7 linked regions of the Oryctolagus cuniculus genome follow. The protein of the gene in region 3 interacts with the protein of the main gene of each other region in a pairwise test. Links are inferred from orthologs where the notes say so. Each region holds a gene or a part of one and is shown on either strand. Other genes may lie near its edges.

The links.
Region 1: the proteins of CREB3 (region 3) and APOA2 interact in a two-hybrid assay, tested with the Homo sapiens proteins (3 studies listed by BioGRID and IntAct). The link is inferred for Oryctolagus cuniculus from reciprocal best matches to the Homo sapiens genes CREB3 and APOA2.
Region 2: the proteins of CREB3 (region 3) and FA2H interact in a two-hybrid assay, tested with the Homo sapiens proteins (2 studies listed by BioGRID and IntAct). The two-hybrid records come from large-scale screens. The link is inferred for Oryctolagus cuniculus from reciprocal best matches to the Homo sapiens genes CREB3 and FA2H.
Region 4: the proteins of CREB3 (region 3) and MARCHF5 interact in a two-hybrid assay, tested with the Homo sapiens proteins (2 studies listed by BioGRID and IntAct). The two-hybrid records come from large-scale screens. The link is inferred for Oryctolagus cuniculus from reciprocal best matches to the Homo sapiens genes CREB3 and MARCHF5.
Region 5: the proteins of CREB3 (region 3) and VTI1B interact in a two-hybrid assay, tested with the Homo sapiens proteins (2 studies listed by BioGRID and IntAct). The two-hybrid records come from large-scale screens. The link is inferred for Oryctolagus cuniculus from reciprocal best matches to the Homo sapiens genes CREB3 and VTI1B.
Region 6: the proteins of CREB3 (region 3) and DNAJC30 interact in a two-hybrid assay, tested with the Homo sapiens proteins (2 studies listed by BioGRID and IntAct). The two-hybrid records come from large-scale screens. The link is inferred for Oryctolagus cuniculus from reciprocal best matches to the Homo sapiens genes CREB3 and DNAJC30.
Region 7: the proteins of CREB3 (region 3) and TMEM140 interact in a two-hybrid assay, tested with the Homo sapiens proteins (2 studies listed by BioGRID and IntAct). The two-hybrid records come from large-scale screens. The link is inferred for Oryctolagus cuniculus from reciprocal best matches to the Homo sapiens genes CREB3 and TMEM140.

The regions. Positions count from the first base shown.
Region 1 is NC_091438.1:37,576,186-37,579,419, reverse strand, and holds APOA2 (apolipoprotein A-II), read right to left. Parts: upstream 2,020-3,234; 5' UTR 1,700-2,019; intron 1,532-1,699; 5' UTR 1,509-1,531; coding exon 1,457-1,508; intron 1,199-1,456; coding exon 1,066-1,198; intron 734-1,065; coding exon 616-733; 3' UTR 501-615; downstream 1-500. UniProt on the Homo sapiens protein: May stabilize HDL (high density lipoprotein) structure by its association with lipids, and affect the HDL metabolism.
Region 2 is NC_091449.1:57,270,406-57,273,595, reverse strand, and holds part of FA2H (fatty acid 2-hydroxylase), read left to right. Parts: coding exon 1-41; intron 42-1,761; coding exon 1,762-2,014; exon of another isoform or gene 2,015-2,161; intron 2,162-3,190. UniProt on the Homo sapiens protein: Catalyzes the hydroxylation of free fatty acids at the C-2 position to produce 2-hydroxy fatty acids, which are building blocks of sphingolipids and glycosphingolipids common in neural tissue and epidermis.
Region 3 is NC_091432.1:198,639,858-198,643,871, reverse strand, and holds the start of CREB3 (cyclic AMP-responsive element-binding protein 3), read right to left. Parts: upstream 2,801-4,014; coding exon 2,363-2,800; exon of another isoform or gene 2,359-2,362; intron 2,262-2,358; coding exon 2,124-2,261; intron 2,027-2,123; coding exon 1,879-2,026; intron 1,803-1,878; coding exon 1,735-1,802; intron 1,616-1,734; coding exon 1,526-1,615; intron 1-1,525. UniProt on the Homo sapiens protein: Endoplasmic reticulum (ER)-bound sequence-specific transcription factor that directly binds DNA and activates transcription. Plays a role in the unfolded protein response (UPR), promoting cell survival versus ER stress-induced apoptotic cell death.
Region 4 is NC_091446.1:38,188,327-38,192,413, reverse strand, and holds the end of MARCHF5 (E3 ubiquitin-protein ligase MARCHF5), read left to right. Parts: intron 1-1,371; coding exon 1,372-1,555; intron 1,556-1,660; coding exon 1,661-1,827; intron 1,828-2,593; coding exon 2,594-2,710; 3' UTR 2,711-3,587; downstream 3,588-4,087. UniProt on the Homo sapiens protein: Mitochondrial E3 ubiquitin-protein ligase that plays a crucial role in the control of mitochondrial morphology by acting as a positive regulator of mitochondrial fission and as an important regulator of immune response.
Region 5 is NC_091451.1:13,562,419-13,566,561, forward strand, and holds the start of VTI1B (vesicle transport through interaction with t-SNAREs homolog 1B), read right to left. Parts: upstream 2,801-4,143; 5' UTR 2,653-2,800; coding exon 2,538-2,652; intron 1-2,537. UniProt on the Homo sapiens protein: V-SNARE that mediates vesicle transport pathways through interactions with t-SNAREs on the target membrane. These interactions are proposed to mediate aspects of the specificity of vesicle trafficking and to promote fusion of the lipid bilayers.
Region 6 is NC_091450.1:50,406,568-50,410,699, reverse strand, and holds the start of DNAJC30 (dnaJ homolog subfamily C member 30, mitochondrial), read right to left. Parts: upstream 2,801-4,132; 5' UTR 2,756-2,800; coding exon 2,072-2,755; 3' UTR 1-2,071. Other genes in the region: BUD23 (18S rRNA (guanine-N(7))-methyltransferase), read left to right, coding at 2,963-3,010, 3,106-3,143. UniProt on the Homo sapiens protein: Mitochondrial protein enriched in neurons that acts as a regulator of mitochondrial respiration. Associates with the ATP synthase complex and facilitates ATP synthesis.
Region 7 is NC_091434.1:170,989,123-170,992,502, reverse strand, and holds TMEM140 (transmembrane protein 140), read right to left. Parts: upstream 1,961-3,380; coding exon 1,403-1,960; 3' UTR 1,096-1,402; coding exon of another isoform or gene 823-1,095; 3' UTR 501-822; downstream 1-500. Other genes in the region: CYREN (cell cycle regulator of non-homologous end joining), read left to right, coding at 823-1,095.

The sequences.
Region 1 (3,234 bases), on a different chromosome or scaffold from region 3:
AGAGGAAAGGTTTTGAATGGAGGAGCTGGAGCACCCTGGGGGAGGGGAGTGAGCCCAGGTCTTCTCCTTTACTGTGGGATGGGGGAAACACAGCATTTCTGGTTCCGAAGGGGAGGGTCTTGGGTGATAGCTCTGGGTTCACTTTTTGGAAACTTTCTGCTCTTCACAGAATGATGGAGAGGACATTCTGCAGTGCCCTCATTTCTTGTGACCTCTAGAACTCTAGGGATTCAGCTTAGGAATCCTGCATTCCTTCCATAGTTCCATGTCCAGTGCAAAGGTTCTTTAGCACTCCACTGCAGAGCCATTCCCAGGCCTGGAGGAGACTCCTTGGGTCCCAAGAAGAATCACAGGCCCCCTCACCCTGTTTGTCTCTCCAGTGCTTTCTCCACACCTCTGCACCAGTCCTCCGTCCTTTCAAGAAGATTTCTTCTTCCTTTCTCTTACTCCTCCCCCACTACCCACTTCTCACAGTCCGCTAAACACACCATGCTCACAGGTTGACTCCTCCACCATTTATTGTAGAAAACAGGGATAGGCAAGGAGGGGCTGCAGGCCTGGCCCAGGGGTGCTCAAGAGGCCAGCTGGAGTTGGAAGACAATGGTGTAGACCCCCTCACGGGGCAGCGGGCTGTGTTTTGAGATCCATGAAATTGCTCAAGAAGTTAAATAGATCAGTTCCAGCCTTCTTGACCAAGGGCGTCAGCTGCTCCTGTGTCTTTTCAAAGTAGGCCCTGGGTAGGGAAGGGATTTTGTTGGTGGGAAGTCAGAGCAGATGAACCCCTAATCCCAAATCCTAGTGCTTGGTCCATCCTGGACGGCAAAGCCCCTCCACTGGGCAGAGGAATAGACCCTAGGGATGAAACTTCCAGGCGCTGTTCCCACTGCCCCTACCTGTCCAGGAGCCATGTGGCATCTTTTGAGTGATGCAGAAATTCGACTCTGCAATTTAAGCTTCATTCTCCCTAACCTGCGTCCCTCAGCTCAGTCTCTGTGGGAACCTCCCATCTTCCCTTTTTTCCATCCTCCGGTGCACAGCCCCGCAACCCCTTTCCCAGAGACTTACTTGGCCTGGGCCTGAAGCTCGGGGGCCTTGGCCTTTTCCATCAGGTCCTTGCTGTAGTTGGTTACAGTCTGCAAGTACTGAGAGACCAGGCTCTGCAGGCTCTGCTCCTCTGCCTGCCTTCGAACCAAAGCCCCTGTGCAAGCACACACACACACACATAGACTCTCTTAGCTGGGTCCATGGCAGTGAATTGCGGCCTCCTGCTACCAACCCCAGCTCTCAGCGCCCTCCCCAAGTAGGCTTCCAGCCAGCTCCTTGGAGGGGTTTTGTGGGCTTCAGAGAGGGAGTACTCTTCCTTCTGAGCCTTCAGGTTACCAGACCTGGGCAGCTTGGCAGCTAGGACTCCCGGTACCGTCTCCCCGCCGGCGCCCCCTCCCCGCAATACACCCACCTTCAAGGCTGCAGATGGTGAGGAGCAGCACCGTCATTGCGAGCAACTTCATGGTGGTGACAGTGCCAAGATGGTCTGGGGACAGTGCCGAGAAGGGAAGGAACACTGAAGCCACACGCTCTCAGCCCCTTCCCCAGGATCTCCCTACCTAAGTGCCTCCCCCTGCCCCGCCCTGGTTCCCTCCCTTTCCACAATTAAAGCCCAGTGCTCCGTGGATGCTGCCTGCACCTCTCGTTCCCTTACCTTACTTAGTCAACGTCTCCGTCCTTGGCGTCAGTGCCTGGCCTGGCTGGAGGGGCAAGGGCTATATACCTGGCAGTGTCCCCACCCTGTCAGGTGACAGAGACTGCACAGGGGCCCAGCGGGTTAGGGCCCATGTTGGAGTAAACAAGTTGAAGAAATGGAGGAGGAAAGGAGACTGGAACGCGGGCCGCATGGCAATGGGCTGAGAGGCAGGAAGTGCAGGCCTTACTGTCTGAGATTCAGTCTTTTGGAGACTGGCGCTAGCTGGGCAGTCTTTGGATTTGCTAATAGCAGCAGGCGGGATTCCTCATTCTTTGGACTCTGAGCCTTCAGCCCTGGGCAACTTTAGTCCATGCTGGGCTGATTTGCTCTGCCAAGCCCCACTCCCCTTTACCTCCACTTGGCAGTGGGGAACTGGGGACTGAAGAAAGGAGTTACAGTCGGGGTCAGGGGAGTAGGGAATGGGGGTTGAGGGAAAGGGGGATGAGGCAGAGGGCAGCTGTGACTGACTGTGTCCCTTTCCGAGTTAATGTGTAAAAGGGGACAGGGTGGGGGTGGGGGTGTAACAAGAGCCCTGATCAATGTGTATACCCGACCCCCAACAAAGCAAATTCAGAAAATAGCCTGTGCGTGCCTGCCCTCCCCCACCACCTGGAGGGCTCTGGCAGGAAGAGAGGTGAGTAAAAAGTTTCCACCTGGATAAAGGTTGAAGGTGCCTGGTCATTTGATCACCTTATCGGTGCTAGGTTGTGGTCAGTCAATATTGAGTAAGCAGGGGCAACAGCACCTCCCCCCACCCCCTTCCCAAGACCCTGGCCCTTATCCCAGCCCTGATTTGAGGGAGGGCAGAGGTTCATCCAGAGGCTCAAAGCATTTGGGTGAAATCAACTGAATCGGTATGGGCAGCATTTGTGTCTTCACCTTTTTGCCCTCGAAATGTATTTCCTTTGCGCCTGGCACATTCCTGAGAGACGGTGGTGGCGGTGTGGGAGCTGGGGGGGCAGCAACCAGAGCCCTTACTCCATCTCCTGTCATTGCTCTGTGGAGTGCATGGTGCTTGCAAGTCACTTCACTGGCTTGCCTAACCCTGGGGTGGAGCGCACTTGGGGGCTGGAGGCCCCTTCCTGCAGACTCAATGCGGGAAGGGTTAAAATTAGAGGGCAGCTGTTGCCGGAATAGCTCTGCCAGAACCGTGTGGAGGAATAGGTTTGCCACCACTCTGCTTCTCTACCGCAAACTCACACTCCACCAAGAGGGCCAACTTTGGAGGGGAGGTGTGGATCCGCGTCCGAGGGACAGCGGTGCTTCAGTAGCGCTCATCTTGTGCGGAGAAGTTTCTAGGGGCCCTTCCGGGAACTGGGGAAGCGATACCACCCAGGATTCACAGGGCTCCCAGCTTGTAGTTTCACTGTAGTTTCAGGGTGGAAGTTAGCTTCAGCGGTCCAAACTCCAAGATGCTCCCCCTAGCGTCCCATACACGCAAACGCTTTTGGCGACCTTGGAGAGAGAGGCCTGGCGGGCTAAGGCCTTCTATT
Region 2 (3,190 bases), on a different chromosome or scaffold from region 3:
TCATCACGCTGCACTTCGTGCTGCACGGCCAGCACCACAAGGTGGGTGTGGCCGTGGGGTGGGACATCGGCAAACCCGAGGCATCGGAGGCTGCACAGGGGGGAGACGGGCCCAGGCATCCTAATCTGAGCAAGACGGGACAGTGAGTGAGTGAGTATGTGTGTGCACATGTGTGCATAAGCATGCATGTAAATGCTGTGCGTGTGTGTACATATGTGTGCACGTGTGCCTCTGCGTCACCCTCCATGAGCCTCGTGAATCTGCACAGCTCATTCACTCATTCATTCTGCAAGTGTTCTGAGGCTGAATGCCTACCATGTGCCAAGCATCAGTGACCCAAGCAGGCGAAGCACCTGCAGTTTTCCCCAATTCCACAGAGCAGGAAGTAGGCCAGGGGGAATTAATGTACTAAGGGACTCACCCAGGGTCAGGCAGGCACAACCAGCACGCTGTCCCCCACCATGTGGCTGCTCTCACCAGCACCCGCTGGCCCTGGGAGTATCAGCCCAGAGGTGGGACTGGAAGCCAGGTCGGCCCCAGGGAGCTACCTCCCCCTGGCAGCTTTGCTGTGCCTGCACAGTGCTGTCCTCGGCCTGGCCCAGGGGCCCCTTCGCCGCCATCTCCTCCAAGGCAGGGCCTTCCCCCACTTTCTCTTCTCTGCTGGGGTGGGCTGCCCTCCTGTTCTTCCCAGTGCTGAGCTGTGTTCTGGGAGTCTCACGTGGCAGCCTGTATCTGGGTGAACATCCAGTCCTGGGCCAGCCTGGCTCTAAGAGGTGCCACGGCCAGTGTCCTCTTTCTAGGCTGACGCCAGCCCATCGGGCCTCTGCTGTCCAGGCCCTGTCCCTCACCCCCCTCACGACATCTCAGATCTATCGCTCCCTATTGGTCAACTTTCCCATCTTCAGGGGACAAACGGACCCTCTGGGGGCTGGAGGGACTGTCTCGGGCTCTCTCTTCCAAGACATTTCCACCTCAGTACACGCAGTCCCGTCATGGCACAGCACAAGGACAGGAGGAGCTTGTGTGGCCCACCGCCACCTCCTCAGATACCCAAGCCTTTGTGTCTAGGGGTCTGTGGCCTGGGCTCATGCCTAATTTGACCCTGGCCACGTCAGGAGTGTTTACACTGCAGGAATCGGCAAACGCTGCTGACCTGGGCGCCCTCATCCTCCCTCCTGCTTTTTATCCCTTCTGCCCCCAGCCTGCCTGCCTTTGTCTGAGCACTGCTTCCCTGCACAGCACTGGCCCTGTTGCCATGGTTTGAGGAAGGGAGGCCCACACCTGCGGATCTCTGTTGGCAACACCTGCTTTGTCCCTGCACAGAGGGCCTTGTGTGGGGAGGTGGCGGTGCAAACCACATCTCTGCACAACACTTCCGGGAACACCCTCCCAGATCGCAGGCCTCAGGCTAGGCCCCCTGTCTCCAGAAAGCCCCTTGAGCCTTCCTGTCTGGCACCAGGGCCCACGTGGTCCCTTGAGTTCCAGGTGGGCCCTGAGCCATCAGCACACCTGCATCCGCTCCCTCCCACGTCACACCTGGCCCTGTGTTCCTGGATCGGGCAATCTCTCCAGGGCTTTGGACTTGGGTGGCCTGCCCTTCCCAAAGCCACCAAACACGCCAGGCCCACCCAAGACAGGTCCCTGTCCCCTCACTGGAAACATTCGGGCTGCTCCACGCTCATCTTGGGGAGCGTCTCCAGTGAGGCACGCTGCGACCCCGAGCCAGCGCCACCTCTGACACTCGGGCCTCTCCATCCACAGGCACCCTTCGACGGCTCCCGCCTGGTCTTTCCCCCCGTGCCGGCCTCTCTGGTGATCGCCTTTTTCTACGTGTTGTTGCGGCTCATCCTGCCCGAGGCGGTGGGGGGCACGATGTTCGCTGGGGGCCTCCTGGGCTATGTCCTCTACGACATGACCCATTACTACCTGCACTTTGGCTCGCCGAACAAGGGCTCCTACCTGTACAGCATGAAGGCGCACCACGTCAAGCACCACTTTGCACATCAGAAGTCAGGTGAGACAGGCTGGAGCCTCCCCGCCTCCCCTGTTGGCCCGGGATCGACTGGACAACAGCTGTTGAATCCCTGCGAAGGGCCAGGCGTTGTCTTCGGTGCTGGGGCACACACAGAGCTTCCTCCATCCTGCTCACGGGTGCAGGTGGCTGTGCAGAGACAGACAAGGAACAGAAATGCCATTAAAGGAAAATAAAGCAAGGTGATACTTGAGTAACCCTGGGTGGGGGGAGGGGGCCCAGCACTGCCCATTAAAATGCAGTCATGCACCACACAACAAGATTGTGGTGGTCAGCCGTGGACCCTGGATACAGCAGTGGTCGTGTAGGACTATAGCACTTCATCTCATTACAGCTGCCTTAGTTTGTGTAAGTACACCGATGTTCTCACCATGATGGAACTGCCCAGCAAGACATTTCTCAAAACACATCCCCACCAAGTGACAGGTGATAGCTGTACTATGCAGGCCGCATAGATGATTTTAAACTTTCTAGTGGCCACATTAAAAGTAAAAAACAAACAGGCATTTGGCTTTGCAGTTAAGCCACTGGTTAGGATGCCCACATCCCACCTGAGAGTACCTGGGTTTAACACGCAACTCCAGCTCTGACTCCACATTTGTGTTAATGCAGCTCCTAGCAGGCAGCAGTGATGGTTCAAGTAATTGGGTTCCTGCCACCCATGTGGGAGACCTGGATTGAGTTCCCAGCTTCTGACCTAGGCTCTGACCCAGCCCCAACTGTTGCAATCATTTGGGGAATGAATTGGTAAATAGACTATCTCTCTGTGTCTGTCTCTCTCTCTTCCTCTCAAATAAATAAATAACTTTATAGTAAAAAGATAGAACTGAAAATCATTTTTTTAATTTATGGGGCAGAGAGCTCCCTTCTGCTAATCCATTCCTCAAATGCCCACAATAGATGGGGCTGGGCCAGAGCCAAAGCTAGAAGCCAGACTTCCCATGTGGGCACCAGGGACTCAATTATTTGAGCCATGACTTCTGCCTCCCAGGGTCTGCACTAACAGGGAGCTGGAACAGGAGCCTGGAATGAAAACCACACACTGCTATAGAACATGGGACTTAAAAAAATGTATTTATTTATTTGAGAGGCAGAGTTACAGACAGAGAAAGAGATTTTCCATCTGCTGGTTCACTCCCCAAATGGCCACAGAGGCCA
Region 3 (4,014 bases):
TCCCTTGTCTAGCCTCCCTAACCAGTAGCCATTTTGGTTTCCATCAGAATGCCTCTAAAGACCAGGTGTTAAGATCACAGGTGCCAGAGCATTTTTAACAATTTCATTCACTGAAAAATTTCTTACCCTGAATTAACATCTGCCTCCATGTAATTTCTATCCATTGAACTTATCTCTGGGGTCGTGTAGAACAAAATTCTACATAGCTGTTTTAAGGCTGTTGGCATTTCCTCAGAGTTTAAAAAAACACACACACAAAAAAACCCTGGACAGACTTCTTAACCCAACATTTCACCATCACTGCATCCTCTTGGTATCTGTCAAAGATACAGGCCCAAAACTGGGCACTTAAAATGCACTGTGATTTGTACAAAAGACAGCAAGACAGTCTTGCCTTTTTAGAGACAATGCATGTATTGACGCTGCTTCCACATCCCACTTGCTTTGCCATATCTCACTGCTGACTCATCTTGTACTTTTAAGAAGTTAAAATTTCTTTAATAAGTACTTATTTTATTACAGGGTCACAATACTGTGCTTGTGAAGTCACCACCCAGTGTTGAAACTTAAAACTTATGCTTCTACATTTGTACTGTTAGAAGGCTTAGTCCAGGCCGGCGCCGTGGCTCACTAGGCTAATCCTCCACCTTGCGGCGCCGGCACGCCGGGTTCTAGTCCCAGTCGGGGCGCCGGATTCTGTCCCGGTTGCCCCTCTTCCAGGCCAGCTCTCTGCTATGGCCTGCAGCTCTCTGCAGTGGAGGCTGGCCCAAGTGCTTGGGCCCTGCACCCCATGGGAGACCAGGAGAAGCACCTGGCTCCTGGCTTCAGATCAGCGCAGTGCACCAGCCCCAGCAGCCATTGGAGGGTGAACCAACAGCAAAAGGAAGACCTTTCTCTCTGTCTCTCTCTTTCACTGTCCATTCTGCCTGTCAAAAAAAAAAAAAAAAAAAAAAAGAAGGCTTAATCCAGCCTCATTGAACTCCCTAAAACAATTCTCCCATTCAGCGCGATGTAGATTACCACCAAGCCGATGAACTCCAAGTGGCAGAGCCCTTCCCTTGCACAGTCCTGCCCAAGGCCCTACGCTAATGTTGCATTGATAATTCTGAAATCTTTTTTCTTAGAACACCAAAATGTGTTAGAAGCCTCACAAAACCAGGATCCACCCTTGCATCTAGCATATTAACCAACAACTCTGCTAAGATGTTCACCTCTTAAGTGTATCTTATTTTTGACACTGATATTACACACATCTATAGGATACAGAGTGACATTTAAGTAATGTATACAATGTAAAAATAAGTAGGGCAGGGTAACTGGCACATGTATCACTGCAGACATTTATCATTTCTTTGAATCAGAAACTGAATATCCTCTCTGCTAGCTATTTTGAAATGCAGCTGCTACCAAGCATAACGTTAGAAGTGACTCCTATCTGACTGCATTCCGGTACAGGTCGACCAGCCTCTCTGCACTCTCCCTCCCCTACACCCTCCAGCCTTTGCCCCACCAATGGGAGCCTTACCTTGGTGAGAGGAAGCGTTCCAGGCAGAGTAAGCCCCTCCTTCTCCAGTAGCCTCTTCTCCTCCTCGGTCAGTACCAGCCTAGCAACCTCCTGAGGTTACGGGGAAGTAGGCAGCAGTTGCATGGGGATGTCCGAAAGAAATGGGAATTCCCGCCCCGCCCCGCCCCGTGCAATGTGGGGATAAGCCTCCTGAAAATCAAGTCAGCTACCTGCTCTGTTGGCTCCTCCACATACAGCGGAGTCATCGGAGCCTCCTCCTTCCCATAGCTCCCACTATCTGCAAAAGGGCAATTGTGACTAGCCGGGCCCACGGACCCTCTCCTCTAGCTCCCAACTTTTCTGATGTCACTCACCTACGTCCACGGAGACATGCTCCTGTGGGAGGGAGTAAGTGTGATCGTGGTGCACAGGCGAGGGCTCGCAGGAGCTGAGGTCGGCCAACGACGCCGGGGGACTCAGCAGGGTGCTCAGCAGATCCTCTGCCTCCCAGTCGCTCAGTACCTGCACCGGGTTCAAATTCCCAGGCCCTGGCCTGTCACTGACACCCGGGTCTCGCGGACGTGCCGCGCCTCCCTGACGCGGAGCCCTACCCACCCACCTCGGAAAGCGGCAGCTCCCAATCCGGGGGCGCCTCCACCGACTCATCGGCTGCCTCCCCCCATGCTCCGCTCTGCTCGAGCAGGAAGCCGAGCAGGTCCTGATCGCCAGGGTCCAACGCCAGCTCCATCTGCGACATCTACGGCAGAAACTCAAGGGTTCACTTCGCAGCCCGGTTCCAATACGCGAGCCCCAGGCACGACCCCCAGCCCAACCGCCGGGTCTCTCCCGCCTACCCACCGCTCCTCTTCGGCTGGCCTTCCCCGCTGCCGGGGCGGCAGTCGCTGTCAAGCCCGACCCACCCACCCGCCGGACTCCGTCGCCCTCGGCCTCCAACACAGCACAAGTGACGCACGCGGCCCCGCGGCCTCTCGGGACTTGTAGTTCCCTCCGAGCCGGAAGTGGCTCGGGTGCTGCGCCACGTCCCGGGGGCGATGCAAATGAGGGGGACGTCCCCGCCCCGGGGGCGGGGACACCGGCGACTCGCCTCCGCCTTCGCCCCGAGCTAGAAAAAAGGAAGAGTCCGAGTGTAACAGGGAACTCGGGCGCCGCTGGGGTGTTTTCTCCGGATTGCGCCGCGCCCTGGCTTCCTGCCGGGGAGGGGCTGCCAGTCTTCGGCGGGCTCGCGAGCATCGAGAGCTGGGGCCAGAGCAGCTTCCTGCAGGTCCCCAAAACCATAGAGCGCGGGCCCAGGGCGCCGCCCGGGGGTGGGGGACGCGCCGGGGACGGAAGTGGCCGAGTGTGGCGAAGGGAGGGCGAGGCCGGAGCCGGAGAGCGGGCCCGGAGGACGAGCAGGGCCGGCGGGCGGGGCGCAGAGCCGGGCAGCGCAGGTAGGCCGCGGCGGGCCGGGCCGGAACCTCGGGGTGGGGCCGCGAGGTCTGGCCCGGGAGGCGGGCGGGCGCGGCCCCTGACTGCGGCGCGTCTATGGCGGGTTCTGGGGGAGACGTCAGCTTCCAGGGTGTCTCGGCAGGCCGATCTGCGGGAGGTGGCTCCTCTGCGGGAGCAGTCCTTGGCCTGGAATAGGTTTTGGGGAAGGGTGAGGAGTGTGGCGGCCGCGGGGCGCAGGGCGGGGATGGGCTTTGGTGTTTGCTGATAGCGGGGATGTTGGGCTGGAGAGCTGTGGATGAGTCTGGGTTTAGGTGGGGTTGGGTTTGGGAATCAAGGGTCTCTTTAGGAGGTGTAAGGCCGGGGTTAACGCTTGAGTTATTGGCGTGATTTAGATCCGTTTTATAAATAAGTGAGGTTGAGGTTGAGGTCGTTATTTTGTTTCCTGGGATGACCAGAGGTAAGTCAGAGTTAAAAGAGTTCAGGGTCAGGTTAATGGTCAACAACAGGAATTAGGTTAGAAGTCCATTTTAAGGATCATAGGATATTGTCGTGGTCAGTTTTAAGGATAAACAGTGAAAAGGTGAGTTAGGAATCAAGTTACAGGTGAGCTAATTTAGACTTAGGGGTCAACATTTTGGGTTAAAGTCAGCAGATTTGGTGCTAACGGTAAAAATTAGTTGAGCCTTAGGGATCAAGGATTGGATGCTTGCTGGTCTCTGCTAGGAGGGGGATTCTATGAGAATGAGGAAACAAATTAGGGCACTAAGGGCAGACCCAGGCCAGGAATATTGACCTTGGGCAGATAACATTTAAGAGGTCGGCAATAGATCGATGCCTTTGGTGTGTGTGTGTGTGTGTGTGTGTGAGAGAAAGAGAGAGTGGGGGGGAGGGAAGTCCCCTCATTTTTATTTAGTCACAGGAGCTTCTTTCAGCCAGAGAGATGACACATTTTGGGTTGGGGTTCTGGACTTCAGGTAGAATTTCCTCGATTCCTCTCTAAGCTCAATGCTGTTGCTGTGGCCACCACAGTTACGGGGCAGGGATTGCTGGACTGTGTTCTGTAT
Region 4 (4,087 bases), on a different chromosome or scaffold from region 3:
CTGTGGATATAATAGGTATCCTCATACTAACTTCCACCACATTGTTTGAAACCTGGGTGAGCTCAAACCCAAGACTCAGTCTCTTTCCCCTGTCTTAAGTTGCGAGAACAGCCCCTCTAAGAAACATGCTTAATTTGCGAGCAGTTGAGACTTCTGACTACAGGGAAACGTCATGCAGGATCTTGGAAAGAATTTTCAGAGAATTTACCTAGAAATGAGAAAGTCACCAAAAAAATGGAGATAATGAAAGATGTAAGCCCCAAATCAATCAGGAAATGAAAAGGATTTTGGAAGAGAGAAAGTGTGGAAATTCACAAGTGCCAGTTTTGTCATTCTTGCCCTCCAGGATCTAAACCATTAAGAGATAACCCCAAGACCCATATATGAGTGGGAAAGGATTGTATTAGCTTCATTACCGACTAGATAGGGGGCCCTACAGTTCCACTAGAAAAAGAATACCTGGGGCCGGCGCTGCGGCTCACTAGGCTAATCCTCCACCTGCGGCACCAGCACACTGGGTTCTAGTCCCGGTCGGGGCGCCGGATTCTGTCCCAGTTGCCCCTCTTCCAGGCCAGCTCTCTGCTGTGGCCAGGGAGTGCAGTGGAGGATGGCCCCAGTGCTTGGGCCCTGCACCCCATGGGAGACCAGGATAAGTACCTGGCTCCTGGCTTCGGATCAGCATGATGCGCCGGCTGCAGCAGCCTTTGGAGGGTGAACCAACGGCAAAAGGAAGACCTTTCTCTCTGTCTCTCTCTCTTACTGTCCACTCTGCCTGTCAAAAAAAAAAAAAAAAAAAAAAGAAAAAATACCTGGGATCTGTGGGCAAAACTGGACTTCTTACTATGGTCCCTCAAATCTAGACCTTGAAAATGTACCTTAGGAGAGAGGTCTTGAGGCACATACTTGGCCAGCCAGAATCATAATGCCCTATCCCATATACCACCAAAGAAGGAGAAAGCCAAAGATCAGTGATCTGTCAGGCCATGTCTTGAAGACCACTCCTGCCCCTTGGCTGGCTGTGCTTGCCTCCTAAACAAAGAGCAGGTATACAGATACTCTTCTGGAAGACAAAGAGAAGTTGAATTTTATCTTGGTTCTGCAGCTTAGTCTAAGCAAATCAAATAAGAAGAACCAAAGGGTCCCCTTTTCCTTTCCATTAGTGTATGCAGCGTGCCTCAGCCATTTAAAAACTTTTAATCCAGTGTAACATGAAATAGCTAGAAGACTTTTTTCCTTGAATAAGTGACATTTTAAACTTTTAATTTCTGTATTCTTTTGACATTAAGCATCTTCTGTAAAAATGAATTGAGCTCAGATATGCACAATTTTATTAGGTTAGGAAAGTGATTCTAGCATTGCTCTGTTTCATAGGTTGTAGGCCATAAAGAAGGTCTGGATGTTATGGAGAGAGCTGATCCTTTATTCCTTTTGATCGGACTTCCTACTATTCCTGTCATGCTGATATTAGGCAAGATGATTCGCTGGGAGGACTACGTGCTTAGGCTATGGCGTAAATACTCAAATAAACTACAGATTTTGAACAGTATATTTCCAGGTAAGGCCCTGAATTGTGTTTCTAAAATACATGTCAAATTGATCTTGTGGCAGAACCATAACATGGCTTTAGAAATTTCTAAGGATATTTTTCTTCTTCTTCTAGGGATTGGGTGTCCTGTTCCTCGAATTCCAGCTGAGGCTAATCCTTTAGCAGATCATGTCTCTGCTACCCGAATTTTGTGTGGAGCCCTTGTCTTTCCTACTATTGCTACAATAGTTGGTAAACTGATGTTCAGTAGTGTTAACTCTAATTTGCAAAGGACAATCTTGGTAAGATGGCTTTAATACTACTTATTTTAGGTGAAAGACAAAAGAGAATAAACCATTTGTTTTAAAGGGGAGAGGACTGTATAAGTAGTTGATCTGTGGCTCCTTTGCCTTATAACCCTCACTGTCATCCAGTAGCTTTAGAGGAAATAAAAAGAGGAGGAACCACTGTGCCAGTTCTGACCTTCCAGACTGATGCCATGGGCAGTTTCTCTCCTGGAGTATGCCTGAATCATCACTCATCCCTCTTGCCAACTAGTTTATGACGAAGCATGTCTACTGTAGGGTCAGACTGCTTGCATCAAATCCTAACTCAGAAATCGCCTTGCTGTGAAACCTAAGTCCAACTTCTGGACTTCTCTGTGCCTAGAGAATGGGGATGGTGGGGGTAACTACCTCAGGCTAATTATGAGGATTAAATGAGACCAGTAAGTACTCCGTGTTGTTTGCGGTCGTCATTCCTGCTGCCCCCTCCCCTGTCCTGGCTTCCGCACACAGGGCCCTGGTGTTCCCCTTTGTGTAGCAGAGTGGATAGAGAACTCAGTGAAGGCAGGCCATGCAGGATCCCAAGGAAGCCTTCTTTCTCTGTTACGTATAGTGGTTTCTCTCTCTCTCCCATTCCACCCCTTGATGGAAAAGCAAAACTCTTGCCTTTGCAGTCAGCTGCATTAGTTTGGCATCAGTGCCTATGTCTTTTGTGATTTGAGTAAAATTCTTCATTATGTTTCTCTAAACATACATTCTAATAAGCTAATTTTCCTTTTTCTAGGGTGGAATTGCTTTTGTTGCCATAAAAGGAGCATTTAAGGTTTACTTCAAACAGCAGCAATATTTACGTCAGGCACACCGCAAAATTCTAAATTATCCAGAGCAAGAAGAAGCATAAAACTGTGACTCCTAGTTGTTCTGCAGTCTTCTCATCCTTATGAGTCTGTTGTGTTGTTTTGATTCCATCATTCATGCACTAGTGGAGGCTTGTGATAAGCTGTTGCTCCTCTATTTTTCAGAAATATAATAAAGCACTTAGGGCAGGGAAAATCCTCTCAGTAATTGCAGAATCTAAGGATGTGACTTGTTTGCTTTGCTTTGTATGTGCTGCTTTTATGGCAGTCACCTGAACCATTTTCTGAGCATGGTAAACCTGGGTTTTCTTCAGATTTGCTCCAGACAGAAATGTAAAGATCAAACTGTACAAATATTAAAAAATGCACATGCTGTTTTATTCAAATGCCTCTTTTGTACATGTTCACGTTCAGTGTTTTCTTAGAATCAGCAACTCAGTGAAGGTACTATGAGGATTTTTCTCACTGGCATAATTTGAATACATGCTAAACAGGAGCATATGTTAATATGAGGAAATGTAAATTTAGTTATAAATAACAAGCCAAAAATGTATGTAAACATTCAAATAATTATCTGAACAAGTGGGAGTTTCTTGTGTTTTCTTTAACCCATGTGATGTACTCCAAAATGTGTAGGGTAAAAATTTCCAGGGCTTCCAGATCCCTTTTTCACTATTAAATTTTATTTATGTAACATTGTTATCTCATAGCTCATAATGTAACTTGGACTCATGTAGTCTTGATTACTGTATGTGTGTGGGTGTGAGAGAGAACGAGAGAGAGCAAGCAATCATGTCCTTCCACCTCGGGTAAGGTTTTTAAATCACTATTTCTAGAAATTAGAGCTGCCAGTTTATAGTTTGCGCAGAAGAACGATTTGCAAAAAAGGAATCAATAAAGTTATTTTACTCTCCTCTTTCACTGATTTGGTTCTTCAGACATTTGTTGATCACCTCCTATTTGCCTGGGCACTGTGCACAGTACTGTGGGGCACAGTGGTGAACAAGATAGATCTGGTCCTGCTCTTACATGTAGAGTTACCACATTTTAGCATTGAGTAAAGCAAGGTGAAGCACTGAGCTCTTTGCTTTTAAATCAGTCTGAGGAGATAATTATGCAAATGAGTCTTAGGTAAATACTGAATAAATCAGTTTATTATAAAAAATTATTACTCGTGTGTCTTAGATTTTTAATTGCCTGTATTGATGAGACTAGCACCAGTAAATAATCATTGTTTAATTAGTTTATTCATTTTTTCAAAAGCAGTTACTGAAGCCATTTTCAGTAGAGTGGCCATTTTATGTTCAGTGATCTGAATGGTCTTGCAGGTTTTTTTTTTTTTTTTTTGACAGGCAGAGTGGACAGTGAGAGAGACAGAAAGGTCTTCCTTTGCCGTTGGTTCACCCTCCAATGGCCACGCC
Region 5 (4,143 bases), on a different chromosome or scaffold from region 3:
TCTTCGCAGCAATTATATAATCAATCGTTCAACAGCTATTTATGGAGCATCCAGGAGGCACCAGACACTCTAAGTGCTTAGGATACATAACACACGAACACAGCACTGACTTCAATAGTGACTCAGAGCTCACCCAGCGGGCCTGCTCCACCGTGCTCATCACAACAGACAAAGTAACGACTCAGCCAAGGTGTCCACCATGGGAGGAATGGATGAAGAGAATGTGGAATGTATATACACTGAAGTGTTACTTTTAAAAAAGAATGAAATCTTGTCATTTGTAGCAAAATGGTTGGAATCGGAGGACATCATGTTGTGTGAAGTAAGGCCAGACACAGACAGACACATACTGCATTGTTCTCCCTTGTATGTGGGAGCTAAAATTTAAAAAACCAACAAAACCAAACCAAACCTCTCAATCTGAACACTGAATGTTGATTACTAGAGGCTGGGCGTGCTGGAAGGGATAAAAAGAGTTTGGGTTTAAAAACAAGGGAAACTGGGTGTGAGCTCTTTAATTCTGACAAATATAGTAATAAGACATGTTCATAGGGAAATGGAAATGCAGTGAGAATATGGTAACTACTTGGGGGGTACAACACAATTTTTCTTTTGTAAATTTAAAAAATATCCCCAGGTGGGTGGTTAAACCAAACTGCTTGTTAAAACAGTTTCTGGGGGCCAGCGCTGTGGTACAGTGGGGTAATGCCCCGGCCTGAAGCATCAGCATCCCATATGGGCACCGGTTCCAGACCTGGCTGCTCTACTTCCAATCCAGCTCTCTGCTATGGCCTGGGAAAGCAGAAGATGGCCCAAGTCCTTGGGCCCCTGTACCCACATGGGAGACCCGGAAGAAACTCCTGGCTCCTGGCTTCGGATCAGCGCAGCTCCGTCGTGGCCAGTGGGGAGTGAACCATTGGATGGAAGACATCTCTCTCTCTCTCTCTCTCTCTCTCTGCCTCTCCTCTCTGTGTAACTTTTTCAAATAAATAAATATTAAAAAACAAACAAACAAACAAAAAACAGTTTCTGGGGACCAGCACTGTGAAGTAAGCCACCACCTGCCACGCATCCCAGATGAGCATGGGTTTGAGTCCCGGCTGCTCCACTTCTGATTCAGCTCCCTGCTGTGGCCTGGGAAAGCAGTAGAAGATGGCCCAAGTCCTTGGGCCCCCGCACCCACATGAGAGACCCGGAGACTCCTGGCTTTGGATCAGCTCAGCTCTGGCTGTTGCGGCCATTGGGGAGTGAACCAGCGGATGGAAGACTTTTCTCTGTCTCTCTCTCTAACTCTGCCTTTCAAATAAATTAAAAAAAAAAAAAAAAAAAAAAAAAAAAAACTACTCTGGGGAAAGAAGACAAACAACTGTAACTATCACAAATATGCGGAGTGTCTAGTACGCTGTTAGAGACTAAGCGATCTGGGGGAAACGCAGAGCAAGCTAAGAGAGGTAGTATACAGAGCTGGTAGTCTCGCCCGAAACACTCAGTTCCCCACATATTAATGACAAGAAATTGCCTACTATCGTCAGGGGCGTTATCCTGATTCACGCATTTATTCCTCACAAAAACCCTAGAAGCAGACAGTTCAGTTTATTCCCATTTTGCAGGGGACACTAGTTTGGTTAAAGAAACGTGTCCGCGGTCACACTGCTGAAGTGGATCTGAACCCCGGCCCTAGGATTCCTGCTTCACCGCTGCCTCCCAGTTCCCCGGTCTGTTCTTCCCCGCGGCAGACCACGTATTTCGTCAGGCTACAACGGACGCGACCCCGTGATGTCCGCTCCACAGGCGCCCCCGCCGCCCTCACACACACACCCGGGCAAGTGGGCTTCCGCTGCCTGCAGGTGAGCGCGCCGGCCCCTGCGCGGCTGCTCCTCGCTCCCCACAGCCGCTCCGGCCGGTCAGCTCCTGCCTCCGAGCCAGCTCTTGGATGCAGAACTCCCCAGAAACCCACGCACCCGGACGCCCGCCACTAGGGCTCTCAGCCCGGGCCCCTCACTCTTGTGCGGCTCCTCTATCCAGCCACCAGCACCCTCTCTCGAAAGTAAAATCCGCATTAACCAGCCGCCCGAAACGCTTCGCCCGACTCGCCACCTCAAGTCCAAGTGTCTGGCGTGGACAATCAGACCCCTCCACGTCCTGGCTGACGCGCTCTCCCCCACGTACCCCCGACTCCACAGCTGAGAGCGTGAGATTCCGCGCTCCCTCGCAGCTTCTTCCCCCTTTTTCCCCTTCTCTTTGCAAACGCCCGTTCCACCCCCTCTACTGCCAGACTGATAGAAACGACGGGCCTCCCCCAAGAATAAGGCCTTTAAATGCGTAAAACAATACACAGGGAGCTACGAAAGAAGCCCATTCCCCAGAACACAGGATCACAGATTTAAAGACCTCTCCTCCCCACCCAAAATGCGAATTTTAAGAAGCCACGGGGGGGGGGGGGGGTCCCCGGGAGGCGTGTCTGATGAGGGGCGGCGAGACTGGCGCCCGGCCGCACGGGGTTGCACTGCCCACGGTCTGTCCCGCCCCTGCCTCACCGGTCCCTGCCGTCCCCAGCAGCCGCCCGGGCACCCCTAAGAGGTCTTCATGGAGGCCCCGGAAGATCTCGTGCAACTTTTCGAAATGCTCCGAGGAGGCGGCGGAGGTAGCCATCACGAAGGCCGAGCTACGGCCGCGGCCGCCGAGGTTCTGGGCTCTGAGTTTGCTCCCGGCCCGGCGGTCAGCCGCCCAGCCCCACGGCCATCACGGCGACCGCCGCGCCCCCGCCGCCGCGGACGAGGCGCTTCCGGGGCCGCGGCGGGGTCCTCCCGCGCCGGAACGTCCACGCCCTCCAGCCTAACGCTATGGGAGCGCCGTGCGCGAAAGCCTGATGGAAAGTCGGAAGGGTTTCGCTGCCGAGCGGGTCCTGAGGGACAGCGGCACCGCACGTTAGAGCGATATTCCCGGAGCGCTTAGAATATCCGGTTCGCTGTTGGGGGAAGTTGTCACAGCGGAAGGGCCCGACGGGCCCGCGGGTCGGGCAGCTCGGCCGCCTCCTTGACGGCCCTGCCCGTGAGGGCGGCGCCGCAGCGCATGCCGGGAGTTGTAGTTCGGCGCAGTGGACGCGCAGGCTCGGGCGTCACGTGTTGCTTCAGCTGGCGTCTCCTCCTGCCCAGTTGCGCAGCGGTTTGGTATCTATTGGATATGGGGTCTGCACGTTGCTGTGCTACCCCGGCTTCCACAATTAGTGTCCTCATCAGGTGTTAGCTTTCAGCCTGGGAAAGACAGCGGGGCCGGGGTCCTGCCTGCCCTCGGACTGGGATGTCAGGTGGCTAGGGTCATGAAACCCCGGGCAGTGGACCCCAAAGTGTGCGTTCTTGGTCTCTAGGCTGGGCTCGCCTAGTTCATTGGGCACATGAACTAGGGGCCACCGATGGCGGGGCTTCCTCAGCTGGTCCACCACTAGGTGGACAAAGCCCTCTCCTGCACTGCATGCGCACAGGTGCCCCTTGGCGCTGATTTCACGCTTCGCTCTCGCTTGCCTGGGAGCCCAGTTTAAACGCACGCACATTTTAATGCCCGCGAATGCTGAGAGGATAATGTTGGTGACTTGTGTCTCCCGGGCCCTTATTTCTAGTAGATTTGAGGCTTGATTTTAACAGTGCTGAGCTCTCAGTGCGTGGAGGTGACACCCAGCACGGAGATGACAAGAGCTGAGGGTGGCGGTGGCAGCGCACTGTGCTACAGCGCAGAGATCAACAGCATGCCGCGGTCAGAACACGAGGACAAAGTGACCTCCAGCTGTGTCGGCAAAGCAGGCAATGGGCGCGAGGCGTCAAGTCAGCACACAATCCAGGTTACTGTCATCTGCAGATTGTAGCATTACAGCTCAACTCCGGGCTAAACGGCCCTTAACGTGAGAAATAACTGCCAAGCTGTAACGACGAAGTGTTGTCTTCTTTCGACTATAAGTGAGCTTGTGCTTAATTCTTACGGTTTTTATTCTCATAAGTAAAAACATGACAAACAACTGAAAAAGATTTTTATTTGTTATTGCATGTTCAATATAAATTAAGTAAAATATTAATTCATCTGTTCTACCGTATTATCAAAAGTTTGCCAATTTTCCTATAAAATGACCATTTCTAAATATTTACAAGTTTA
Region 6 (4,132 bases), on a different chromosome or scaffold from region 3:
CCTTGGCTGACACTGGGACGGCTGCAGGGGCCAAAGGTGCACCCAGGGCACGAGGTGCCAGACGCCGGAGGAAGCGAGCAGGAACACATTCTCCCAGCTGGTTCCGGGGCTCCTGCGCAGGTCCCTCTCGCCCTAGTCTCCCAATCCAGATCCAAATTCTTGGGAAGTTTTGCTTTTTATTTGTGACCAGAAGAAAAAAGGAGCACGGCTAGGCCTCCGTGTCTGCCATCGGGAATCCGGGAATCAACCCTAGAAGGCAGAGGCTGATGCCCAACGGCCTAGTGCAGCCACCCCTGGACAGGGCAGGTGGAAGCAGACCAAAATCCCGGGGGCCCTGCGAGGGGCATGGGGCAGAAATGTCAGCCAGGGGAGCAGCCGGGGTGGGGGTGTGCTTCATAAAGAGCCCACCCTCCCCGCCCGAGGCAGGCAGAGCGTGGGGCTGTTTCTGCACGGGGAGGAGCCTTCCAGGCTACCCTGCCTGGAGCTGCAGGCGGGCTAGGGAGGTTCCCTAAGCTTAGTGTGATCCCAGACCTGTAACTTTTTAGGTCCCAGGACAGAACTTCCAGAGCTGTGGGCTTCACGGAGCATAAACAAACTTGGGAGGTCTACGCCAAGGGGCCCATGTACCTCCACGAACCCACAAAGAACCAAAGCCCTGAGGCTCGAGTAGTCCCCCCCCCTTGGTCAGCCATCCACGGCTCCTGCCAGGTTTGTCTGCAGGGCTCCGTTCTCCCATCCCCCTCGGCCTGTTTTTCAACAAATGGCCCCTCTTGCTTTCCAAATATGAAACATACCAACAGTCGACATTCTTTCCAAAAGTACACACCCCCACCCCCGACATCAAGGCTCACGGAGCCAGGACAGTAAACCAGGGTGGGCCCATTCTGTGGCCGCCCCACAGGGATGTCGGAGCCCAGCCCCCACCTGGACTATGTGTGGGTTTATCCCGAGGATCAGACACCATGGGTACAGGAATTGCTAATACACCCAGGCACCTCCGATTCTGTTCAGACCTTGGACTCGGGCCCTCCCTCTTGCTCTGGACCCCTGGCAAGAGTCCTGCTCTGCTCCAGCCTTCCACTGGGCCCCAGTGCAGCCCCCTGAGCACCTGCAACCCCATGGCCAGCCCCACTGCCCCAGGCCCAGGAGCCTCCCAGCTGCAGCTCTGGGCCCCTGCCTCGGCCTGTCTCTCTGGGCCCGGCCACCCTGCTCAGCAGCCCGGCCCACTTCAGTTCCCTCCGCTCCAGCACCCTTGCTTCCAGGACTTGGGGGAGGGCTGTGATGAGCACTGCGAGCTACACAGGGGCAGGGGCCACCCTCGGGGAACTCTTAGCTGAATGTGACCCTTGTCTGGGAGGGGAGGATGGCCTGGGAACAGGATGACCAGCTGACAGGCACACTGTCCCGAGGATGACCTTGGCCCTACCAGCATCACCATAGAATTACCGGCCATAAACGGGACAGACTTCAAAACAGCAAGTCACTCACTCCTCTGCGGTCACGGCCCTGAGCAGCTCCTCCAAGTTAAATGGACACAGACAGGAACACTGGTGCTTCCGCTCTGGGATCTGGGTGTCCCACCCTCCGAGGGGGAAGTGGCCTGGGGGCTGCCCGAACTCCCACCTGCGGCTTGGGGAACTCACAGAGAGAGACAGGTTCTCGGACGACCCCAGAATTTTTTTTGGCAGCCAGTGCTTGGGCGTATTGCACTTTTCAAGGTTACAGAGAAGCCCCCACGCGGCTCGGTGGGGGGCAGATAAGTCCTGCTTGGGGCCTCACAATAAAGCCAGAGCAAGTGGTCCAGTCGCTGACAACATCCGAGGGAAGCAGGCACTCAAGGGACCCGGGGAAACCCTGCACTCCGGACTTCCGAGAATCTCCATCTTGGGGGGAGGGGGCTCTTTCTTGGACCCTCGGGGAGGGACGTAGCTGGGCGGGTGGGGAGGGCAGAGGGAGTTCAGCTCCTGGGACCCCAAGCCGAGGTAGACTAGGGAAGGTCAAAAGTTCCGAGGGCCAGCAGGGCCGCTGTCCCGGGACCGGCTGAGCCGCGGCTCCTCCCGCCTCTCTCCGCTCAGATCCGAAAGCCGACGATGATGAAGACTAAAAGGAAGAGGAAAATGAAGGTCGTGTCCCGGACCTCATCCCACTTGAAGCCCTTGGTGGCGCGATCCTCCTGCTGTTTGCGAAGGGCCTCCCGCCGGGCCCGCAAGCGCCGTTCGCGCTCCAGCTGCTCCCCGTAGTGTGCCCGGTAGAAGGCGTCGAAGTCGAACATGGTGCGCTCGGCACCCCCAGGGGCTGCCCGACCCCCGTGCGGGGCCCGAGAGGCGGCCGGCGGGGGCCGGGGCGGGCTGGGGTCGGCCGCGGGCGTCCTGGAGGGCCGGGCGCCGGGGCCGCGCAGGTCCTCGTCGCTCAGCAGCCCGCGGTCGTATTTGCGACGGAGTGTGGTACTGCCCAGCACCAAGTAGGCCTGGGAGATGCGCGTGAAGCGCTCGGCAGCCTCGGCGCTGCCGGAGTTGCGGTCGGGGTGGTAGAGGAAGCTCTGCCGGTAGTAGGCCGCCTTGATCTGAGCCTGCGTGGCCGTGGGGGGGACGCCGAGCAGCTCGTAGAGCGCAGTGCGCGAGTACGGGCCGTCGCCCCGAGAATAGGTTCTTGCTCGCAGGCCCACACTCGACGCCGAACTGGGAGCGAATTCCCAGGTCCGCCACAGTCGCCAGAGTAGCAGCCGCGACCACCGCGGACTGTGCGCGGCTGCCATCTTGAACGGAGCCGGCGACCGCTGGGAGACGGACCGGCCAATGGGAAGCGCAAGGAATTGGCAGGCGTGGGCCCCGTAGCCAATCACTTGAATAGGGAGGCGGGGAAAGGGGGTGGAACATGTGCGTCACGAGCCGGTCGCGGGACTGATGACGTAAGAGCCGGCGCCCGGAGTCGCCAGTAGCCGGCGTGTTCCAGAGACGCGAGGATGGCGTCTCGCGGCGGCAGACCGGAGCATTGCGGCCCCGCCGAGCTGGTAAGGCCTGTGGCCCGCGGGCGCTCCTCTCGGCTTTTCGAGGACCCCCCGCGTGTGCCTTCCTGCCTCGACTTGCCTTTTTCTCTTTCTCGCAGTTTTACGACGAGAATGAAGCCCGGAAATACGTTCGCAAGTGAGAGGAGCCGTCGGGGGTCGGGAAGCTGCAAGTCGCCCCCTCTGCGGGGCATTGCTTAGCGGGCGGGGGGCGGGAGTCTGGTTCGTGAGCTGACGCTCTTTCTGCCCCCAAGGAAAGCCGGCCTCGGGATCTTACCTGAGCATTGGAAGTGGGCGTGGTCGCGCCTGTTCCCCCAGGTGGCGTTCAAAGTTTGGGGGTGGGCCCAGCTTGTGTTGTGCATGCGGGGGTCAGGACTACTCGGGGGGTGGGTGGGGGGACTACTGGGGGGGGTGGGAAATAATATCCCGGCGTGCTTTGGTGTGTCCCTCTGCGTTCTAAGTAAATCTTAGCGAGAGTTGTTGGTTGTCGCTGTGATTGAATTCCCTAAGAGGAGGTGTATTGTATAATCCCGGAGTTCCTTGGCAGGTCCGGGCTAGAGCAGCGGACTTCCAGACCTGCCTTCTCTGGTGCGCTGCTCTGTAGAAAATTCTGCTAGTACTCTTCTGTCCAAGTGAGAGGCCAAGACGGAGCGGCGGCAGCTCCCCCTGGTCCAGTTGTCCCCGGATGGGAGGTGGAGACGGGATTCCGGGGGCGGCAGCTCGCCCTGGTCCAGTTGTCCCCGGATGGGAGGTGGAGACGGGATTCCAGGGGCGGCAGCTTGCCCTGGTCCAGTTGTCCCCGGATGGGAGATGGAGACGGGATTCCAGGGGCGGCAGCTCGCCCTGGTCCAGTTGTCCCCGGATGGGAGATGGAGCCTGGATGGGAGGTGGAGACGGGATTCCAGGGGCGGCAGCTTGCCCTGGTCCAGTTTTCCCCGGATGGGAGATGGAGACAGGATTCCAGCTGCAGAGCTTATGTTAGGTGTTAACGGAAATGATTTTGTGCGATCCGGGTTCATGTGCACAGACAGACCTCCTTTGTGTAGTGTGGCTTACTCTAAATGACCGCTTAGGAAGAAATGGAAGGATCTTGTCTATTATTATTATTATTTAATTGGTAGTATTTCC
Region 7 (3,380 bases), on a different chromosome or scaffold from region 3:
GCGGCCTCAGGCTGGGTCCCGAGTCCCGGCCAAGCCCGGATGTTAGGGAGAGGAGATGCACACGCCGCGCCCGCCCTCTCTCTACTCTGTAGGACGGCAAACAGGAAAAGGCTGGGGAGCTGCCGTCCCTGCTGGGCGCCGATAAGCCGGAGGGCTCCCCCTCCCCGTCTCCTCACACGAGCTCAGGGAGCAGCAGCGAGGAAGAGGAGGGAGAGGACGACGCCCCCGTGCCAGGCCTCAGCCCTCCCAACACCGCTGGCGGCAGGAGGCCGGAGGAGGAAGAGAAGGAGGAAGAGGAAGACGTGCTAAAATACGTCAGGGAGATATTTTTCAGCTGAGGTTCTCAGCGCTGCCCTGGCCCCCTGCCTCCGCGGCTCTGGGCCTCCTTGGTCCTGCCAGACCCGCCCCAGGCCAGAAGCCCTGTTTTAAGGGTTGGGGGGACTGGGGAGTCGAACCCCATTGTTCCCTGCACAACAGCTCTCCCTGTTCTGGAATTCCAATTGTTTTCCAATTGTTTTATTCAGTTACCAGCTTTCCTGGGAAAATGAGGCCCCGGGGTGGGGGGGGCAACCTGAGGGTTTAAGAGAGTGGTGCTGCCACTCCGTGCACAGGGACTGGTGGAACGGAGCCTGTGTCAGGTGGCTTCCAGCACGCGGTGAGCAGGCCCCAAGCTCTCCTGCAGCCGGCGGCCCACTGGCACACCAGCCCGGCCGGGAGGGCAAGACCCCGCCACGGAGGAGATGTCCTCGCACCACAGTCCTTCCTGCTACCTCTGTGTTCAGCGAGGCTTTGACCCAGACTGAACATAGCCGTGCCTTACAGGTGTCCCGATACACAGATGCTGGAAAACACAGAACTCCTCCGGGCGTGACGCGTGCTGCCGGAGCCGCCGTGTCTGTCGGGGGTAGAACCGTTCCGACCTGTTGGCCTCTTCTTACCAAGCGTTTGTCTCCTGGATCCCGCCCCGGGAGCGACTGGCCAGCCGCCTCCTGCTCCAGGCTACCCAGGGGCCTTCGAGGGCAACCCCGGGCCTTCTCTTCATGTACCCTGTGCAGTCGTTCCCGGGCGACTCGGCACAGCCCTGGGAACTGGTGACCCCGCAGGGAGCCGACGTCCTCGTCCCAACCTCCACTGAGATCCGTCAGGAACTGCGGCCCTGGGCCAGGAATCCCTCCAGTTAGAACTAAACCGGGCAAGGAAAGCGGGGACCCGCGTGACAGCGAGGCGGTGGTTCCGGATGTCCACGGCAGCCATTGCGGTCCTAAAGGAGACATCGCCCTATGCTAAGAAGCTGCGGGGGCGCCCCCTGCTCGCCAGTGGGCTCCTTAGCTCCCGTGGGAGCTGGGCATTGGCTCTGAAGAGATGGCCCCGAGCCTCTCCGGGACCGAACCCTTGCACTGCGCTAACAGCAGCTCTCCGGCTTGCTCCCGTCCTGAGCCCTCGGAGAGAACACAGCGGTGGCCATGAGCAAGAGCAGGAGGAAGGCCTGGGCCGTGCCCAGAGCTAGAAAGGCCGGGCCCAGCAGAGAGAGCCTGAGCCACTTCCACACGAGGGAGAGGAAGAGGCCCAGGCCGCCGGCCAGCAGCACGGAGGCCGCGGCCAGGAAGCCCACCGCCAGCCGCCACTCCCCCTCGCTCCTATTACACCAGGCCAGGAGCAGAGGCAGGGGGACGAAGAGGGTGAGGACCAGGGCCCCGTAGACACCGAGCCTGGCCAGAGCCAGGCCCAGCCGCGGCACCCCGAGGGCCTCCAGCTCGGGGAACTGGTGACAGAGCAGGGCGCCGAGGTCCTCGTCCCACAGGCAGAAGTTGTAGAAGCCAAGTCTCAAGTGCGGCAGGTCCACGACGTTGCCGGCTCTGCAGAGGAGGGCGTCAAACAGCAGGGAGATGACCCCAGCCACCAGCAGGAGGATGCTCAGGAACGCCACGTGCCTGCCCCAGCGGGGCCCGGGCCCGGCCATCGCGCCTGCTCCGCACGGCGGGACCTGCGGGGAAGGCACACCGGTGAGTCCCAGCCCCGCATAAAATCCTGCAGCATCGTCCCCCGCAGCCCCCTGGGGAGCTGTGCAAACCTGCTGTTGGGCCAGGGCCTGGCCTGCCACGGGAGCTCTGGGGCTCATTCCGAGGGGAGACTGAGCTGAGCAGCAGCGCCAGGACCCCCGGCCTGCAGAACTCATTTTTTGCGAATTGACAAAACTGCATTTTAAAAGTTGTCCTAAATGAACACATTAAAGATTTTTTTTTATGTGAAAGATAGACTTAGATCTCCCCTCTGCTGGTTCAGTTCCCCAGATGGCTGCAGCGGCTGGGGCTGGGTTAGGCTAAAGCCTTGAGCCGTCACCTGCTGCTCACAGGTGTGCGTCAGCAGGAAGCTGGAATCGGAAGTGGAGCCAGGACTTGAACCTGTGTACTCAGAGGAGGTCCCCAGTGGCATTTGAATCACTGCGCCCAACACCCACCCCAGAAAATGATTTTAGAAGAAAAATTATGGCGTACTGTGGCGTACTGGGTTAGGCTGCTGCCTGCAGTGCCAACATCCCCCATCGGCCTGGTTCACAGCCTGGCTGCTCCACTTCCGATCCAGCTCCCTGCTAATGGTCTGAGAAACCAGGGCCCCCAGCCATTGTGGTGTGAACCAGTGGATGGAAGACCTCTCTCTAGCTCTTTCACATAAATCTTGAAATATAATTTGTTGTCTCACCACTGTTACTGTTACTGCTTTACCAATATTGTTTTGTATGTGCCAGTATAAATTTTTTTCTACTGAGTATTGTAAATGTTTTTCAAAGCTGTTACATATTAAAAAGGACGAATGGCAACATATGTACAACATAGAATGATGCACTGAACTGTGATCGGGTCGTTTCCACTCTATTCTAAGAGACAGTGAAATTGAGTGTCCGAGCGCTGGTTGCAGTCTGATTGTCCCTCAGGCTGGGTACCCAGAACTGCAGTTACAGTGCCAGGTGCCGCACACCACCACACCAACCTCTGGAAGGCTCGTCGTCCTTCTATCACATCCTAGTGTCTCCTTAAGTATACTCATTTACATCATCTTTTCACTACTTTTAAACTCAAATTGACCTCAAACAGCAGTCTGCACACCATGCATTCTTTCTGGTTTGGACTAACACAGCCGTTTACGTCCAGACGTGACGAGGAACACAGTGCTGCAAGCTTTGCAAGACTCAAGGTATCAGGCTGGGATACCACGGGGCAGCCTGTAAGCCTCAGCCTGCAGTGCCCAGTGGGGTCCTGCAGGCACGTGGTGGCCAGTGGTGGCCCTGGGGAGGAGCCCAGCACCTATAACCCTGATAACTTCTGCCTGGAGGATCTGGCTGATTCTTCACACCAGGCCTGTTCTGCAAGGTACCACGTGGA